Linked DNA regions of Macaca mulatta. The protein of the gene in region 2 interacts with the protein of the main gene of each other region in a pairwise test. Links are inferred from orthologs where the notes say so. Each region holds a gene or a part of one and is shown on either strand. Other genes may lie near its edges. The genes, in order: CPSF4 and FIP1L1.

Region 1 (8,736 bases), on a different chromosome or scaffold from region 2:
GCCTGGCCCACATACAATGATTACAGGCTGGTTTCGAACTCCTGACCTCGTGATTTGCCTGCCTTGGCTTCCCAAAGTGCTAGGATTACAGGCGTGAGCCACCGCAACCCACCCCACATACAATTATTAAAAAAGCACACCCGGAGGGGGTAACAAGATGGTAACTGAGATGGTGGAGCTCCATAAGCTGAAGCTTGCTGAACTAAACAAGAATGTCTTACTTGTGGTTTGGAGACCAAGGGAATAAAGCAAGATCTTATCCACAGACTCCAGGCGTATCTTGAAGAACATGCTGAAGGGAGGCAAATGAAGATGTACTGGGAGATGAAACAGAAGAAGAAACAAACCCCCTGTCAAAGAGGAAGAACCCCCTGAAAAAAAACTGTTGATGTGGCAGCAGAGAAGAAAGTGGTGAAAATTACATCTGAAATACCACTCAATGAAAATTACATCTGAATACCATTCTGAGAGAATGCAGAAGAGGGCTGAACGATTCAGTGTACGTGTGAGCTTGGAGAGTAAGAAAGCTACCTGGGCAGCTAGGTTGGGGATTTCTTCAGTTCCAACACAAGTCTGTCACCTGAGAACAAACCTATGGTTAACTTGGATAAGTCCAAGGAAAGAGCTCAAAGATTTGGTTTGGGCCGGGCGCGGTGGCTCAAGCCTGAAATCCTAGCACTTTGGGAGGCTGAGACGGGCGGATCACGAGGTCAGGAGATTGAGACCATCCTGGCTAACACGGTGAAACCCTGTCTCTACTAAAAAATACAAAAAACTAGCCGGGCGAGGTGGCAGGCGCCTGTAGTCCCAGCTACTTGGGAGGCTAAGGCAGGAGAATGGCGTAAACCCGGGAGGCGGAGCTTGCAGTGAGCTGAGATCCGGCCACTGCACTCCAGCCCGGGCGACAGAGCGAGACTCCGTCTCAAAAAAAAAAAAAAAAAAAAAGATTTGGTTTGAATGTCTCTTCAATCTCCAGAAAGTCTGAAGATGACAAGAAACTGAAAAAGAGGAAGGAGCGATTTGGGATTGTCACAAGTTCAGCTGGAACTGGAACCACAGAGGATAAAGAGGTAGAGAAGAGGAAAAGAGCAGAGCGCTTTGGGACTGCCTAATGAAAGGTTCTTGATACTTTCTGTTCTCCAGTGTTTTCCATTTCTCTCATTCTTTTTTTTTTTTTTTTTGAGACGGAGTCTCACTCTGTTACCCAGGCTGGAGTGCAGTGGTGCGATCTTGGCTCACTGCAAGCTCCGCCTCCCGGGTTCATGCTATTCTGCCTCAGCCTCCTGAGTAGCTGGGACTACAGGCGCCCGCCACCACGCCCGGCTAATATTTTGTATTTTTAGTAGAGACGGGGTTTCACCGTGGTCTCGATCTCCTGACCTTGTGATCCGCCCGCCTCGGCCTCCCAAAGTGCTGGGATTCATTTCTCTCATTCTTTTTGGTCACATATATACCTAAATGCACAGTCATGTGCCTATGTCCTGCCTCGAAATGAGGAAGCATGTACCCCAGGTACATCTGTGAACTGCCGCAGCAGTTTGACTTATTGCTGTTTCAGCTTTAAGGTTGTTGTGCTTTTGTTTTTGATTATGTTGCTTGTTAACAAAAAGAAAAAAGAAAAAAAAAAGCACAGCCTTTCATTCCCACAGTTAAGAGTGTGCTGGAATTCAGTGGGCTCCAGGGACCAGCTGTTCTGATGAGTCCAGGAATTCACCAGCACCCGGTTTCCAGACTAAACTGACCTTGGCATCAGAAACAGTTTCCTTACAAGTAACCATTTTAGAATTGCTGAAAAACCAATGACAGCATCTCTGAAGTCCACTTAACGTGCCCCCCCTTACTAAATCACAAAAGATTCCTTGGCTGTCACAGGGAGGTCACTCTATTTGCATTTCAAAAAGTCTGAAAGTGGCCAGGTGTGGTGACTCACGTCTGTAATCCTAGCACTTCCGGAGGCCGAGGCGGGTGGATCACTTGCGGCGGGTGGATCACTTGCCGGGTGGATCACTTGCCGTCAGGAGTTCATGTAGAGAAACCCCGTCTCTACTAAAAATGCAAAAATTAGCCAGGCGTGGTGGCACATGCCTGTAATCCCAGCTACTCGGGAGGCTGAGGCAGGAGAATCGCTTGAACCCAGAGGCAGAGGTTGCAGTGAGCCAAGATTGCATCACTGTGCTCCAGCCTGGGCAACAAGAGCAAGACTCTGTCTCCAAAAAAAAAAAAAAAAAAAAAAAAAAAAAAAAAAATTCTGAAAGTATCTCTGGTCTGGTCTTTCTCTTCAGAGGTTAGAGTTGTTTCTGCTCAGAAATCCACAGTTCTGGGAACTGAGCCTCATGTGGATGGGATGAGTATGCCTTATGGGCAAAGTGACAGTTATTCCCAAACCTCAGATGGGCATGAAGAGGAGGGATGGGTGAGGAAGGGCTGTGGCCTCACTGGGCTTTAACTGAACAGGATATGGACAAGCAGTGAGTGTGGAGGGTGCCTACCGACTCTGAAGCCCTGGCTGGGGCAGCACCCAGGGCCAGGCGTGTCCCTGGCCTCAAGAACAGGTATGTGGGCCCCTCACCACTGTACCTCCCCTCACAGGCTTGTGGATCTGTCAGGTGGCAGAAGGATGGAAGGGAAAGATCTGCCCTGCATGGGTGGTTCCATGGTCTCAAGCCAGTGCCATCAAGACAGGAAAAGGCCGACTGGGCGCAGTGGCTCACGCCCGTAATCCCAGCACTTTGGGAGGCCAAGGCAGGCGGATCATTTGAGGTCAGGAGTTCAAGACCAGCCTGGCCAACATGGTGAAACCTCATCTCTACTGAAAATACAAAAATTAGTTGGGCATGGTGGCGGGAGGCTATAATCCCAGCTACTCAGGAGGCCGAGGCAGGAGAATTGCTTGAACCCGGGAGATGGAGGTTGCGGTAAGCTGAGATCGCGCCATTGCACTCCAGCCTGGGCAACAACAGCGAAACTCCATCTCAAAAAAAAAGAGACAGGAAAAGGCCACATGTGCAGGGATGAAGTTATCACAGGACTCGAGGGGTAGGTAAGAGGGGGTGTGTGTGTGTGAATTTCAGCAGCTGCTTTTTAGGGGGTGTACAGTGGCGATGGTGTTTGTGCGTGTGTCAAATAGGGTGGTCTGATGATGCCTCTTTATAAGCACTATCTTGTTTTTCTTGATGACTTAACTTCCAACGAAACTATCTTGTACAGAAGTATCACCATGTAAAGTTGTGGGACAGGCAGCAAAAAAAATTTATATATACACACACACACACACACACACACATATATATATATATATATAGGCCAATATAGGCCAGGTGTGGTGGCTCATGCCTGTAATCCCAGTACTTCTGAAGGCCGAGGTGAAAGGATCGCTTGAGCCCAGGAGTTCAAGACCAACCCTGGGAAACATGGTGAAACAGTGTCTCTACCAAGAAACACACACACACAAAATTTGCCAGGCGTGTTGGTGCACACCTGTGGTCCCAACTACTTGGGAAACTGAGGTGGGAGGATTGTCAGAGCCTGGGAAGTCGAGGCTGCATTGAGCCATGATTGCGCCACTGCACCCAGCCTGGGCAAAAAAGAAGCCCCTGTCTCAAAAGCAAACAAACAACAACAAAAAAACCACAGAAAGGGACAGACTCAGAGGTCACATGTGCATGAGAAGGTGTGGCCGCCTGAGGGGAGAGAGGCTGCTGGGAGACCCCGCTGGTAGTGCGGGAGACCCCGCTGGTAGTGCGGGGCGACAGCACACAACACTGGAGAACTTGCCTGGCTCTGCTATGCACTGAGTGGTCGTCAGCAAGTCCCTTCCCCTGCTTGGGTCTCAGTTTCCCCATCTGTGGATTGAACTCAGTGACTTCCACAAGCCCGCGAACTTTAAGGCTATAGCATTAGATTTCAAGTGTGTCCGGATAGGAAAGAAGACACAAAGAAAACTACCGGTTTCTTTTAAAGTACAAGATATGGGGAGCCAGGAGCCACCATGTGAAAGGGAGGAGTGAAGGGAGTTCAGGCTAAGGGACCACACCAGCTGCTGGGTGTGATGAACAACTCAGAGTTGGGGTCCAGAAAAAAGTAGGGACAGGCCAAAAACTAAGGATGAGCTCCCAGGAGAGAGAGTCCTAGAAGGAAGTTTAAGAGTCTAGCTGGGGTCTCCTACAGAGAGGTGGTCCTTCCCTCAGCACGCCTCCTCCAACAGCCTAGTTTTGATGAAAGCAAAAAGAAGAGACGCTCAATGTAGCGGGGTTGGGAGGTAGGGGGTGCGATATCCTAGTACTCTCCTGTAGCTGGGAGAGTGTTGAGGGAGAGTTCCAATCCAGGATAACCCACCCTTATTCAAGAATTAAGCGAACGCACAAGGTCCTACCCGCCTACAGATTACCTTTAAACAGCCGCAGGGGGCCAAAGATCCGAGGCAGAGAACTCCTGAGTTCGAGTGAGGGGAAAAGGGGTCCCCAGACGGTGGAAATGGGGGCCTGGGAGTCAGGAGTCCTGGAACCAAGGGGGAGCGTCCCGGGATCCAGAAGAGGAGGTCTCAGGATGGAGTGAGAAGAGTCCCGGATCACAGATGAGGGAGTTCGGGAACTAAAGGGGAGGGTCCCAGGACCCGGAGGAGGTGGGAGGGACTCTCAAGACATAGAGGGAGGAGTCCCGCGACCGAAGGGGAGGGGTCCCAGGATCCAGAGGAAGCCGGGGGAGGTCTCAGGACCGAGGCGAAGGAGTCCCGGGAACACAGAGGAGAGGGTCCGGGGTTCGAGTCGCTCTCGCCCTCCCGCCAGGGCCCCGCGCTCACTGTCCATGCCGGGGAAGGGCAGCGGCTGCGCCCCGAGCTGCTGCTCCACTGCGATCTCCAAGTCAAACTTGATGTGGTCCACGCTGGCGATTATTTCCTGCATGGCGGCGGCGGCGGCCCCACCGGCCCGGCTCCCCCTCGGTCTCCTGCAGCCCTCTCGCCTCTCTACCCGCCGCCGGGCCCGCCGCACACGCTCCTCCTGCGCCTCGCAGCCGCCGCCGCCGCCGCCGCCCGAGGGATGCCGGGAGCGCCCAGAGCCCGCGCCGGTTCTTGCGCCTGTCCAGGCACTGCCAATCGAGCGCGGAGTCCCGCCGCTCCGCTAGTCCCGGCTAGCCGCCAGCCGAACGCCGGCCTAGTCTCGCCGGAAACCTGAAACCAGCCGCGTGTGTCGGCGACGCGGGCTGCGCTTGCGCGTCAGGGGAGAGGGTGATCCGTGGGAGAGCCGGGTCCGTCGCGGGGACCGGGTAGAGAGCCCCGTCGGAGTGCACTGCGCCGGACACTTCAAGTGAGTTCTTGTGTGATCCTCGCAGGAACCCCGGGATCCGGGCAGAGACACGCCAGAGGGGAAGGAAGTGCCCGAACCAGGATTGGAGCCAGGGGCGTCCGAGGAGGGAAACTGAGGCTGCAAAAGTCTGTGTGGAGAGGGGTCGGCGTTGGCCTGAGGGTCCGGGTAGGCGTCTGAGGAGGGGCGGGTCTCTCCGAAGAAGGACGGCCGCAGCGTGTCTCTAATTCAGGGTTTTTTCTTTTCTCGCTAGGTGGCCCAGGCTGGAGTACAGCGGTACGATCATAGCTCACTGCAGCTTCAACTTCTCAGGCTCAAGCGATCCTCCCACCTCAGCCTCTTGAGTAGCTGCACCACCACGCTTGGCTAATTTTTAAATTTTTATTTTTAATTTTTGTGGAGATGGGGGCCTTGCTATGTTGCCCAGGCTGGTCTTGAACTCCTAGCCCCAAGCCCCAAGCGATCGACTCGCCTGGGCCTCCCAAAGTGCTGGGATTACAGGCATGAGCCACTGTATGGTCTAATTCAGGGTTTTCTAACCAGGGTGGGGTAATGAAATTGTATAGGAACAAAATGACACCCCTATTTTCTCTGTGAAATTTAGCATTTCCTTTCCCAATTGCTGGAGCAGCCTTAGCAGTGCCTGAAACTGTGTCATAATTTCAAGGTGGGGTGAGTGTAAATGATAGTTCCAGATAAGAGTTTGTGCAGGGCCAGGCGTGATGGCTCACACCCGTCACTCCAGCACTTTAGGAGGCCGACGCAGGAGGATCACTTGAGGTCAGGAGTTCAAGACCAGGCTGGACAGCATGGCAAAACCCCGTCTCTACTAAAAATATAAAAATTAGTCGGGAGTGGTGGTGCGTGCCTGTAATCCCAGCTACTTGGGAGGCTGAGGCATGAGCATCGCTTGAACCCGGGAGGCAGAGGTTGCATTGAGCCGAGATGGCACCACCCCACTCCAGCCTGGCGACAGAGTGAGACTCAAAAAAAAAAAAAACAGTTTGTGCAGCACCTACAAGGTGGTATCTTAAGCTGTCACTTACATTCGTTACTGCTTTGAAATTATTGTAGGGTCTTGTTATTTAATGCATTGAAAATAAGCATCTATGCTAGTATAGCAGAAATTTGTTTTTAAAGCATTTTGATGCCATTTCAATATCATTGCTTTTTGTTTTGTAATTCTGTGTATTGTAATTAATGCACATAAGGCAGGGCATGGAGGCTTACGCTTGCAATCCCAACACTTTGGGAGACCAAGGCTGGAGGATTGCTTGAGGCCAGGAGTACTAGACCAGCCTGGCAACATAGGGAGACTACATCTCTACAAAAAATTAGCTGGGTATGGTGGTGTGCACCAGTAGTGCTAGTTAATTGGGAGGCTGAGGTAGGAGGATCACTTGAGTCCAGAAGTTGGAGGTTGCAGTGATTGTGCGTTTGCCACTGTGCCATCGCACTCCAGCCTGGGCAACATGAAGACCCCATTCCCATAAAAAGAAAATTACATAAACACCATGCTTGTAAGAAGGAGTGGCAGGGCTTGCCAGATGCAGAATGATAAAGGCCCCCTGCACTAGTTTCACAAAGGTGCTAGTCAGGAGAGTCTGTCCATACGTTACATGGACCTGAGTTCTAAGCCAGCCCAGGCCAAACTGGCCAGTCTCACCCACTGCACTGCTGCAGGACCCCAGCAAGTCTCTCCCCTTGCTGGGCCTAGTTTTTTGTTTGTTGTCGTTGTTGGTTTTTTTGAGACAGAGTCTTGCTGTGTTGCTCAGGCTGGAGTGCAATGGCGCTATCTTGGCTCACTGCAACCTCTGCTTCCCACGTTCAAGTGATTCTCCTGCCTCAGCCTCCCGAGTAGCTGGGATTACAGGGACATGCTGTCATGCCCAGCTAATTTTTGTATTTTTAGTAGAGATGGGGTTCACCATGTCAGGCTGGTCTCGAACTCCTGACCTCAGGTGATCCACCCACCTTTGCCTCCCAAAGTTCCTGGATTACAGGCGTGAGCCACCGCTCCTGGCCTGCTGGGCCTAGTTTTTAATCTGTTCAATCTGCCATCACTTGTGAGACTTTTCCAATGGCAACCTTCTAATATAACCAGACTTCAAAATATTTTAGGCTGGGCATGGTGGCTCATTCCTGTAATCCCAGTGCTTTGGGAGGTCAAGGTGAGAGGATTGCTTGAGTCCAGGAGTTCGAGACCAGCCTGGGCACATAGCAAGACCCCATCTCGACCAAAAAATGAAATTAGGCGTGGTGGCACGCACCTGTCGTTCCAGCTACTCAGGAGGCTGAAATGGGAGGATCGCTTGAGCACAGGAGGGTGAGGCTGCAGTGAGCTATGTCTGACCTGAACCTAGGCTTTCTAACCTTTGGGCCCATACTTCTTATTTTATTTATTATTATTATTATTTTTCTGATACAGAGTCTCACTGTGTCACTCAGGCTGGAGCGCAGTGGCGTGATCTCAGCTCACTGCAAGCTCGGTCTCCTGGGTTCAAGTGATTCTCCTACCTCAGACTCCTGAGTAGCTGGGATTAGACATGTAGCACCACATCCAGCTCATTTTTTTTCTATTTTTAGTACAGATGGAGTTTCACCAGGCTGGTCTTGAACTGATCTGCCCACCTTGGCCTCCCAAAGTGCTGGGAGTACAGGCATGAGCCACCGTTCCTGGCCTGTTCTTTTTTTTGTTCGTTTGTTTGGTTGGTTTGGTTTTGTTTTTTTGAGACAGAGTCTCACTTTGTCACCCGGCTGGAGTATGGTGGCGCAATCTCAGCTCACTGCAAGCTCCATCTCCCGGGTTCCAGTGATTCTCCTGACTCAGTCTCCTGAGTAGCTGGGATTACAGGCGCACCTGGCTGTAAAAACCACCATGCCTGGCTAATTTTTGTATTTTTCATAGTGACAGGGTTTTACCATGTTGGCCAGGCTGGTCTCAAACTCCTGACCTCAAGTGATATGCTGGCCCCGACCTCCCCAAGTCCTGGGATTACACGCGTGAGCCATCGCGCCCAGCCTGGGCCCATACTTCTAAGCACTTCTTTCTTTCTGCCTTTTGTGACTAGGAACTGAGTTGACTCTCTTACTTTTCCTGATATATTCCAGGCCCTGGAGGGACCGGAAAGCCAGAAATGAACCTCATGAGACTCACTAGACTGTTCTCCAGGGCCCGCCCCATGGGACTGTTCGTCCTGCAACACCTGGATCCCTGTAGCGCCAGGTGGGCGGGAGGCAGGGAGGGGCTGATGCGGCCAGTGTGGGCAGCCTTCAGCAGCTCCTCCTCTCAGCTGCCCCTCGGCCAGGAGCACTTGGAGAACACGGGCAGCCTGGGCTCTGACCCGAGCCACTCCAACTCCGCGGCCATGCAGGAAGAAGACGAGGAGGAGGAGGAGAGTTTTGGGACCCTCTCTGACAAATACTCCTCCCGGAG
Region 2 (8,092 bases):
GCCTTAAATATAGTAAGTGTGCCGTAAATGGTTATTGACTAAATAAACTGAATGTTATTTAGTTACAGTTGTCTCTGAAGGTTTTTTCCCCTTAGACATTTGATTATGAAAATTTTCCAATACTCACAAAAGTTGAAGGAATTGACCTGTGACTGCTCATTTACCCATCACCTAGATTATACAATCCGCATTTTGCTTTGTTTGCTTGAACTCATATCCCTCTCTCTATGCCTTTACCCATTTATCAGTTGATTTATTTTTTATTCATTTTATGAATTTCCAAAGTAAAGTACAAGTATTTGTGAAGAGTGTAAAGTTGCTTAACCTCTGTATTTCAGGGTATATCCCTTGAAAACAAAGTACGTGAGAAAATGAAATTTGATAAACATTTACTTCTGTGCAGCGTTTTCAGAAGCAAATTTAAAGAACAAACTGTGTTAAAGGAATAGTACTGAATTGATTTATTGTAAATTGTTACAGGTTGTTTTTTTAGGTAACATACCTTTGTTACAAGTTCATTTTATATGTGTGTAAGGTATGAAGAAAACCAAGTCTTAAAGTAGGAATAATTTATCTTGGAAAGTAGTTTGTTACCTATCTCTGTGAGATTCATCCATTTATATACTCAATAAATACTTTTTAAAGGCATAATTTATTTGGCACTGTGTTAAGTAGCAAAGATAATGTGCCTTTATTAAACCATCTATGATCATTCCATTATTATATTTTTTTTACATTTACCGTGCTACAAAAGAACTCTTGGTAAAATCATGATGAAATTTCCTGGAGTCAACAAATTAGATAGAGTTACATGAAAGCAGCAATTTTTTTATTTGTGAATGTATTAATTGATGAGAATACAAGAAGTTATTATTTTCCAGAGGTAGTGAGGAAAACAGACATGTGAGTAAATATTTTCAGTGCAACATAAGTGCTACAATAGAAACATGTACAAAGTGATTAGAAAAGTTTGAGAGGAGAGTTGCTGAAAGCCTACAGGTATTGAAGAGAAGATCCCAGAGGTGACATTTGAATTTGAATAGTTTTTGAGATGGGAGACAGTGGTTTTTAGGTGGAGGACACTGCTTAAAAATAAATGTAGTAGATGCATGGCTTGGAGGAAGTACATGGCTGGAGGATAAGGTAGATGAAAAGAGATGGTTGAAATCACTTATGAAAGGAGTTAGGATGCATTTGCTATGTCTTTGTAGACCTTGCAGGGTTGTCCAACCAGCCGACGTTATGTTGTTGTTGTTGTTGTTGTTGTTGTTGTTCTGTTTTGGTTTGTTTTAGGCTTTTAGCTGCCCAAAGCCGTGGTTTTTAGTTTCTGTCTCCAGTGATAAGTGGAAAAGAGGGTTGATGAAGGGGCTTTACTGGCCTAACCAGAACAGAAACTGAGGACCTATGACTGTATTCTCTCACTTAGACACCCCGATTAGGTTTTTAGATAGATTATATTATTTGAAAAGGTATTACCTTTAGACACTTTAGATTTCTATAGAGTAGAAACTATTGTAGCATCAGTAGTTGAGATGGGTTAGATGGAGAGACATTGACTAATAGATGTGAAGTAGTTGTCCAGGTGAGATGATAATCTAGACTAAGGCAGCAGTAGTAGAGAGATGAATGGGAAAATAGTATATTTGAATATTTGAGAAACAAATATAGTCAGGCATGTGGTATACACCTGTAGTCCCATGGACTTGGGAGGCTGAGGTAGGAGGATCGCTTGAGCCTTGGAGTTTCAGGGCAGCCTGGGCCATATAGTAAGATCTTGTCTCAAAGAATAAAAAGAAAGAAATAACAAATAACATGGGTAACTGGTTGGTTGTGGATGGAGGAGGAGATAAAGGGACTTAAAGATTTCTAGAGCAGTTAATTGGGTCCAGGTGGGCGCTACTGCTCCCACCTCCCACAAAATAGATTCATTTGATATGTTTATTTTGAAATTCCTATAGAAAATCCAAGTATAGGATCTAGCATTTAGAGTGGTCTGAGAGTTCATGGGGATCTATTGGACATTATATCAAATTTGCCTCTGCAAATTTTCATACCACTAAGCTTCTCTACGCAGAATGAATACAAAGGCTTGTGGCTTGAAAAAGAAAAATGATGTTTTAAAAGGCAGAATGGGGAATAGAAAGTAGCTAGATGGAAAGCAAAGAAGCTCATCTATTGAAGACTTAGGGCTAAGCCTTTTATAAAAATGCCATTTTATTCTATAGCAGTCCTGTAAGAGAACAGTTTAGAGAAAATCCTTGATTTTTCTACATTTGTAGAAAAATCATGTACATCATATGTAGATAGCACTAAGTCACTTTTGCTGAATTTGGATTGTTAAAATGTAAACATCGTGAAGGCAGGGACCAAATTTGTCCAGCTCCTCATACTTTTTCCTTAGCCTAGAATCATACCTGACATGGTTTTGGTGCTCAGTAAGCATTACATGAATTAATCAGTCTATAAAGTGATTATTTCAAGTTGGTGATGATAGTACTGCTTGACAGTAATATTTGGTCCACTTTGTAATTCTTGCATTTCTAGCTGTGAAGCTACAATTATTTGATACAATTACTTAAACATTTTATTGCATTTACATTTTTCTTTTTTAAGTGGAAAAGAAAAATGACAGTGCAAATGTAACTCAACCTAAGTCTTATATTTAGTACATTAGAGACAAAAGATGGAAGTAATTATTATTAGACCCAAAGCAGTGAATCTAAAGTCCAGATGGCTGAACTTCTGAGAGAAAAGAACCAAATATGCCACATGAATGTAATGTGAGAAATATATCATTGAAAATACCTATGACTTGAGGTCTTACTGGTATCTTTTTTTTTTTGAGACGGAGTCTCGCTCTGTGGCCCAGGCTGGAGTGCAGTGGCGTGTTCTCGGCTCACTGCAAGCTCTGCCTCCTGGGTTCATGCCATTGCCCTGCCTCAGCCTCCTGAGTAGCTGGGACTACAGGTGCCCGCCACCACGCCTGGCTAATTTTTTCTATTTTTTAGTAGAGGGGGGGTTTCACCGTATTAGCCAGGATGGTCTCGATCTCCTGACCTCGTGATTTGCCCGTCTCAGCCTCCCAAAGTGCTGGGATTACAGGTGTGAGCCATCGCCTGCCGTCTTACTGATATCTTTTTGTTCAGTGGGAGTTGGTCCTTCTTTGCCCATTCCTGTTTTCTTCTAATTTCCCTAGTAACAGAAAAGTCTATTTTAATTAGTATATTTGATAATACTACGCATATATAAGAATCCATTATATAAAAAAAGTAAAGAACTATCTGTAACCCCTTACAGAAAATTTATATGAGGCTCATTTATACAAGTATAAATGCAATGAAATATTCAAATAATTATATACGAGTCTTAGATGTCTTGGCCAAGATTACACTAACAACTGACAAAACATTTGAATGTGGATTGGTCCAACTTCAGAAATTTTTTTCTTTATCACTGTGTATTATATTACATCTAAAAAGGTGCAGCTTAATACTTTTTTCAAATATATGCATTCATGTAACTACAACCAGATCAAGATACGAAACATAATTGGCATCCTAGAAGTTTCTCTCATTTTTCCTCTTGGTCATTAACCACCCACCACCGGTAAACACTGTTCTGCTTTCATGCTAGACTTATTTTTGAATTTCATGACAATAAATTTCTATTATGAACTCCATGAATGGTTGAAAAAGGATTTATTAACAATATCAACTGTGGTAAGAACTGAAAGGCCACTGGATTTAACAACAAGTTGGAGGAATTTTACTTATGCTTAAGATTGCTGTATGTGTAATAACTGGCAGGCAAGGAAATGAAGAAAAGGGGTATAAACTATGTTTCCCTTCTTAGCCTTATTTCTTGTGAAGTTTGTTACAGTAGAATGTTGAGTTAGTGGCAAAGAGATTTTTGAAATGGAAACAAGTCAGTTTTTTTTTTAATGTTTTTGCCTTTTATTGAGCAGGTGACTTTAGAAACTAGTTTAAAATGTTTTTTAAAATGTGTATTAGCTGGGCACGGTGACTCACTCTTGTAATCTCAGCATTTTGGGAAGCCAAGGCGGGAGGATTGCTTGAGCTCAGGAGTTCGAGACCAGCCTGGATGACATGCTGTGAGATCTCATCTATCCAAAATTTAAAAAATAAAAATAGAAATTATAAAAAATAGAAAAATAAAAATAGAAATATTACTGCTTTGTTTAAGCTTTTCAGGATAATTTTTGGTTTTTTGTTTGTTTTTAGGAGTTATGGTACAGCACCTGTAAATCTTAACATCAAGACAGGAGGAAGAGTTTATGGAACTACAGGTAAAGTTTGTATTTTCTGTTGCATCAGTAGAGAAATAAGGCACATATCTTAAATAGGTCTTAATCACTCTTTTTTTAGTGGGACACAGAGTCTGACTTTGTCACCCAGACTGGAGTACAGTGGCGCAATCTTAGTTCACTGCACCCTCCATCTTCCAGGCTCAAACCATCCTCCCACTTCACCTTCTCAAATAGCTGGGACTGTGGGCGTGCACCACCATGCTTGGCCAATTTTTGTGTTTTTATGTAGAGACCGGGTCTCGCCATGTTGTTCAGGCTGGTTTTGAACTTTTGAGCTTAAGTGATCTGCCTGCCTTGGCCTCCCAGACTGTTGGGATTCCAAGTGTGCGCTGCTGCGCCTGGCCAAGGTGATAATATAATAGCTCTTTTTAAAGGTAATTTTTGACCATACATCACAGGGACTGGTAAATTTTTTCTGTAAATAGTCCAGTAGCACATATTTTAGGCTCTGCTTTGTTTGGAATGCTTGCCAGGTTTTTTGCCAGGGATAGTAAAAAAATGTTTGTTTTCTGTTTGTGTGTGTATGTGTGCCAGGAATAGTAAAAAGGTGTTTATATCTTCTGTTTGTCTATGGTATGTCCCAGCTTCTTGCAAGTGTAGCTCCTTCATTTTGTAATTTTATAAAACAGGAACAAAAGTCAAAGGAGTAGACCTTGATGCACCTGGAAGCATTAATGGAGTTCCACTTTTAGAGGTAGATTTGGATTCTTTTGAAGATAAACCATGGCGTAAACCTGGTAAGACTGTTGTGGATTATATTAATTTCAATATTTTTAGTGTGAAGTCATCAGAAAATTTTTTGAGCATCAATTTAGAATTTTATTTTTTCATTATAATTTTAATTGTCTTAAGCAAATGATGAGTAATAGTGACTTGGATTATTAAATCTTACTGGCGGCCTCATATTACTTAAAATGTAGACTTTATTATAATGACATTTCTAAAGGAAATAATTTGATCAAAAATTTTATGGTCTTTTTGCCACCATAAATGATAGAGTGATAACTGATAGAAGTCTAAATTTATATTTTTATAGTTTAGTATATTTTTGATGCTGCATAAAAATAGAGCTGAAATATTTGTACACTAAAGATGTGTTTTATCTTTAGGTGCTGATCTTTCTGATTATTTTAATTATGGGTTTAATGAAGATACCTGGAAAGCTTACTGTGAAAAACAAAAAAGGATACGAATGGGACTTGAAGTTATACCAGTAACTTCTACTACAAATAAAATTACGGTAATTAAGAAATACTCCGGAATACCCTTGGCTTGTCTACCGTCCCACTTTTACTCCCCAAATAAATCACTTCCCTATAAAAGTGGTTAAATGATATACGATAGTTTAAAAATTCCATTTTGTTTACCATGTTTGTTTTTCCCTTCCCTCCCTTTTAGAGTTTTGTATTAATGATTATCTGATGTTCTTACTTTCAAATCACAGACTAGCCACAGCTAGTTTGTCTTTATATGGCCTATTAATTAAATATTATGTGGTATCTTAATGGGGAATATGTTATTTAACTTAGGCCGAAGACTGTACTATGGAAGTTACACCAGGTGCAGAGATCCAAGATGGCAGATTCAATCTTTTTAAGGTGAATTTTAGTAAATTATCCTTGGTTGCTCTCATTTTTTGTTCTTGAGTCTGCTCCCATACCACTACTCAAGGGACAAGATTAAAGTGGAAATAGCTACCTTTTTTCCAAACCTTCAGCTTCCTGGTGACTTACAAATTTGCTGATTGTTGTTTTATCTCCACTTTTGCAAGCATGTGAATTTATAGCCTATTATACTAACAAATGCCAAGTAAAACTGTTCTTTGCTATATGTTGTGATTTCATTTTGAGTTGTAATACGTGTTTGTAGGATAGAAAAGTTAGTGGCAACAGATTAAGCTCTCATTGTAGATAATACTCTAATCTTTATCAACAGAATTGGAGACTTTTTTGTTTTCTTTAAAAAAAACGGTAAGGAAGTGGCATACTGTTTATCTCTATGATACTGGTAACACTGATACCATTGGTGTAATGCCCCGATAGCTCAAGATATCTTCAAAAATCTTAGACATTCTCTGAGAGGCTTTAAGAACTCAACAGAATGAGATAAAGCCATTGATTTTAAAAATTGGTACTTGAAAGGAGTAGGTTTATGTGAGAGACTTTGAGGTTGATACTACAACTTGTGTATCAAGTCTCGTTTCTGGCTTCTCCATTGCATGGTATGATCACAGACCCAGTCCAAAGAATAATACTATATTGTCATAGTTCTTTTATGGAAAACTGGTTGTGTACTCTTTTTTCTTTACCTTGATGGTTGATTATTGTATTGAATGACACTGAGATGAAGATTGGGAGTGGCTTTTAGATTGGGTTATATACTCAGGGAACTTTAGTGGACTGGAAAAAGACCTCTGCTCCCCTTTTGGGTTTGCAGCCCTGTCCACCAGAATACTGCCTTATGCAGTGTGTGTGCTGTGTCTGCAGATAAACCACTCTACTGTACACAGTTCTATATAGATAATTTTATTTTTAATTTACATTCTACTTTGCATATTTGGTTCTTTTGCAAATATTTTGAAAGTGTGTGGTGATGTCTGTTGTATTTTAAAGGGTCATCAGGTTTTTTTGTGTTATATTGTCTATAATGGCATTGAATATATTAAACTTAACTACAATGGGTAGAAAAGTTGTCTTAATGAACTAGTTCATTAGCAGCAGTGCATTTTATTTTATTTTTTAATAGAAACGAGAACTGCCATCATAAACTGTTAGCTTCTGTATACTTTATTTTTTGTAGTAGACTTTTAAAAAGAGAATAAAAAGAAACTCCTAGGGGTCAGTCTTATTGAAGGTAGCCATTATGAATGTGTATTTTATATACATACTGTGTACTGAAAAACTTATTTTGAAGTTTCTTTTGGTTATGTGAGAGGAGGTCAGAGTGTTCCATTCTGATTGGATTCTGAATGAAAGATTTGAATTTGATGGGTACAGTCTTCATGGTTTTCTTGCCTTGACAGTGTGTTTAAATACTAATATGTTTGGTAGAAATACTGATTTGGGAAGAGGGTGTGTATTAAGACTATGTGTGGCAAACATTTTTTCTTTATGTATATTGTGGTCTGTAAGAAATGTTGGAAATAGGGCCATAATGAGCAGGACATTGATTTTAAACTAGCCTGCAAACATTTGTGTGGCCAATAGGAAGCTGTTTGAAAGTTCCTGAGCAGTAGAATGAAGTGCAGATCTGGTTTTTAGAAAAGGAACTGGCAGCAGGATGGGCTGTAGAATGAAAGGGATATGAAATAGATAGGGTTATGTTGCCATACTATAGGAATGAAATGAACTAGGGCCTGAACTCACTTACGAGGGTGAATGGGCAAAGGAGTGGATTTAAGAATTAAAATTTATTTTCATATCTACTGCAAATAGAATTTTTTCATCCTTAAGTGTGAGACAACCCATCAGCCTCTTTAAGATAACTTTATTTACTATTCATTAAATAATTTTCAAACCCAGTAACAAGTAGAATAGTACACATGAACCCTTAGGTGCTTATGCAGCTTCAACACTTAACGGTGTTTTGACATTCTTGAGGTAACAGCCTTTTATATACTTCAATATGATTAAAGTTTTACTAAAAAGCAAAATAAAGGAAAAAATTTAACAGGTGTAAAAATAAAGCCACTCATTTGGGTGCAAAAACAATTGTGTAATAATTTAATTAGAGTGAGGGGCAAGAGAGAAGTGACTAGTGGGAATA

The links.
Region 1: the proteins of FIP1L1 (region 2) and CPSF4 interact in binary tests that used the Homo sapiens proteins (3 or more experiments, as listed by UniProt). The two-hybrid records come from large-scale screens. The link is inferred for Macaca mulatta from reciprocal best matches to the Homo sapiens genes FIP1L1 and CPSF4.

The regions. Positions count from the first base shown.
Region 1 is NC_133408.1:46,665,396-46,674,131, reverse strand, and holds the start of CPSF4 (cleavage and polyadenylation specificity factor subunit 4), read right to left. Parts: upstream 5,013-8,736; 5' UTR 4,902-5,012; coding exon 4,799-4,901; exon of another isoform or gene 4,717-4,798; intron 4,559-4,716; exon of another isoform or gene 4,388-4,558; intron 1,244-4,387; exon of another isoform or gene 947-1,243; intron 654-946; exon of another isoform or gene 212-653; intron 1-211. Other genes in the region: PTCD1 (pentatricopeptide repeat-containing protein 1, mitochondrial), read left to right, coding at 8,438-8,736. UniProt on the Homo sapiens protein: Component of the cleavage and polyadenylation specificity factor (CPSF) complex that play a key role in pre-mRNA 3'-end formation, recognizing the AAUAAA signal sequence and interacting with poly(A) polymerase and other factors to bring about cleavage and poly(A) addition.
Region 2 is NC_133410.1:80,108,081-80,116,172, reverse strand, and holds part of FIP1L1 (pre-mRNA 3'-end-processing factor FIP1), read left to right. Parts: intron 1-4,241; coding exon 4,242-4,306; intron 4,307-4,956; coding exon 4,957-5,064; intron 5,065-5,436; coding exon 5,437-5,567; intron 5,568-5,856; coding exon 5,857-5,925; intron 5,926-8,092.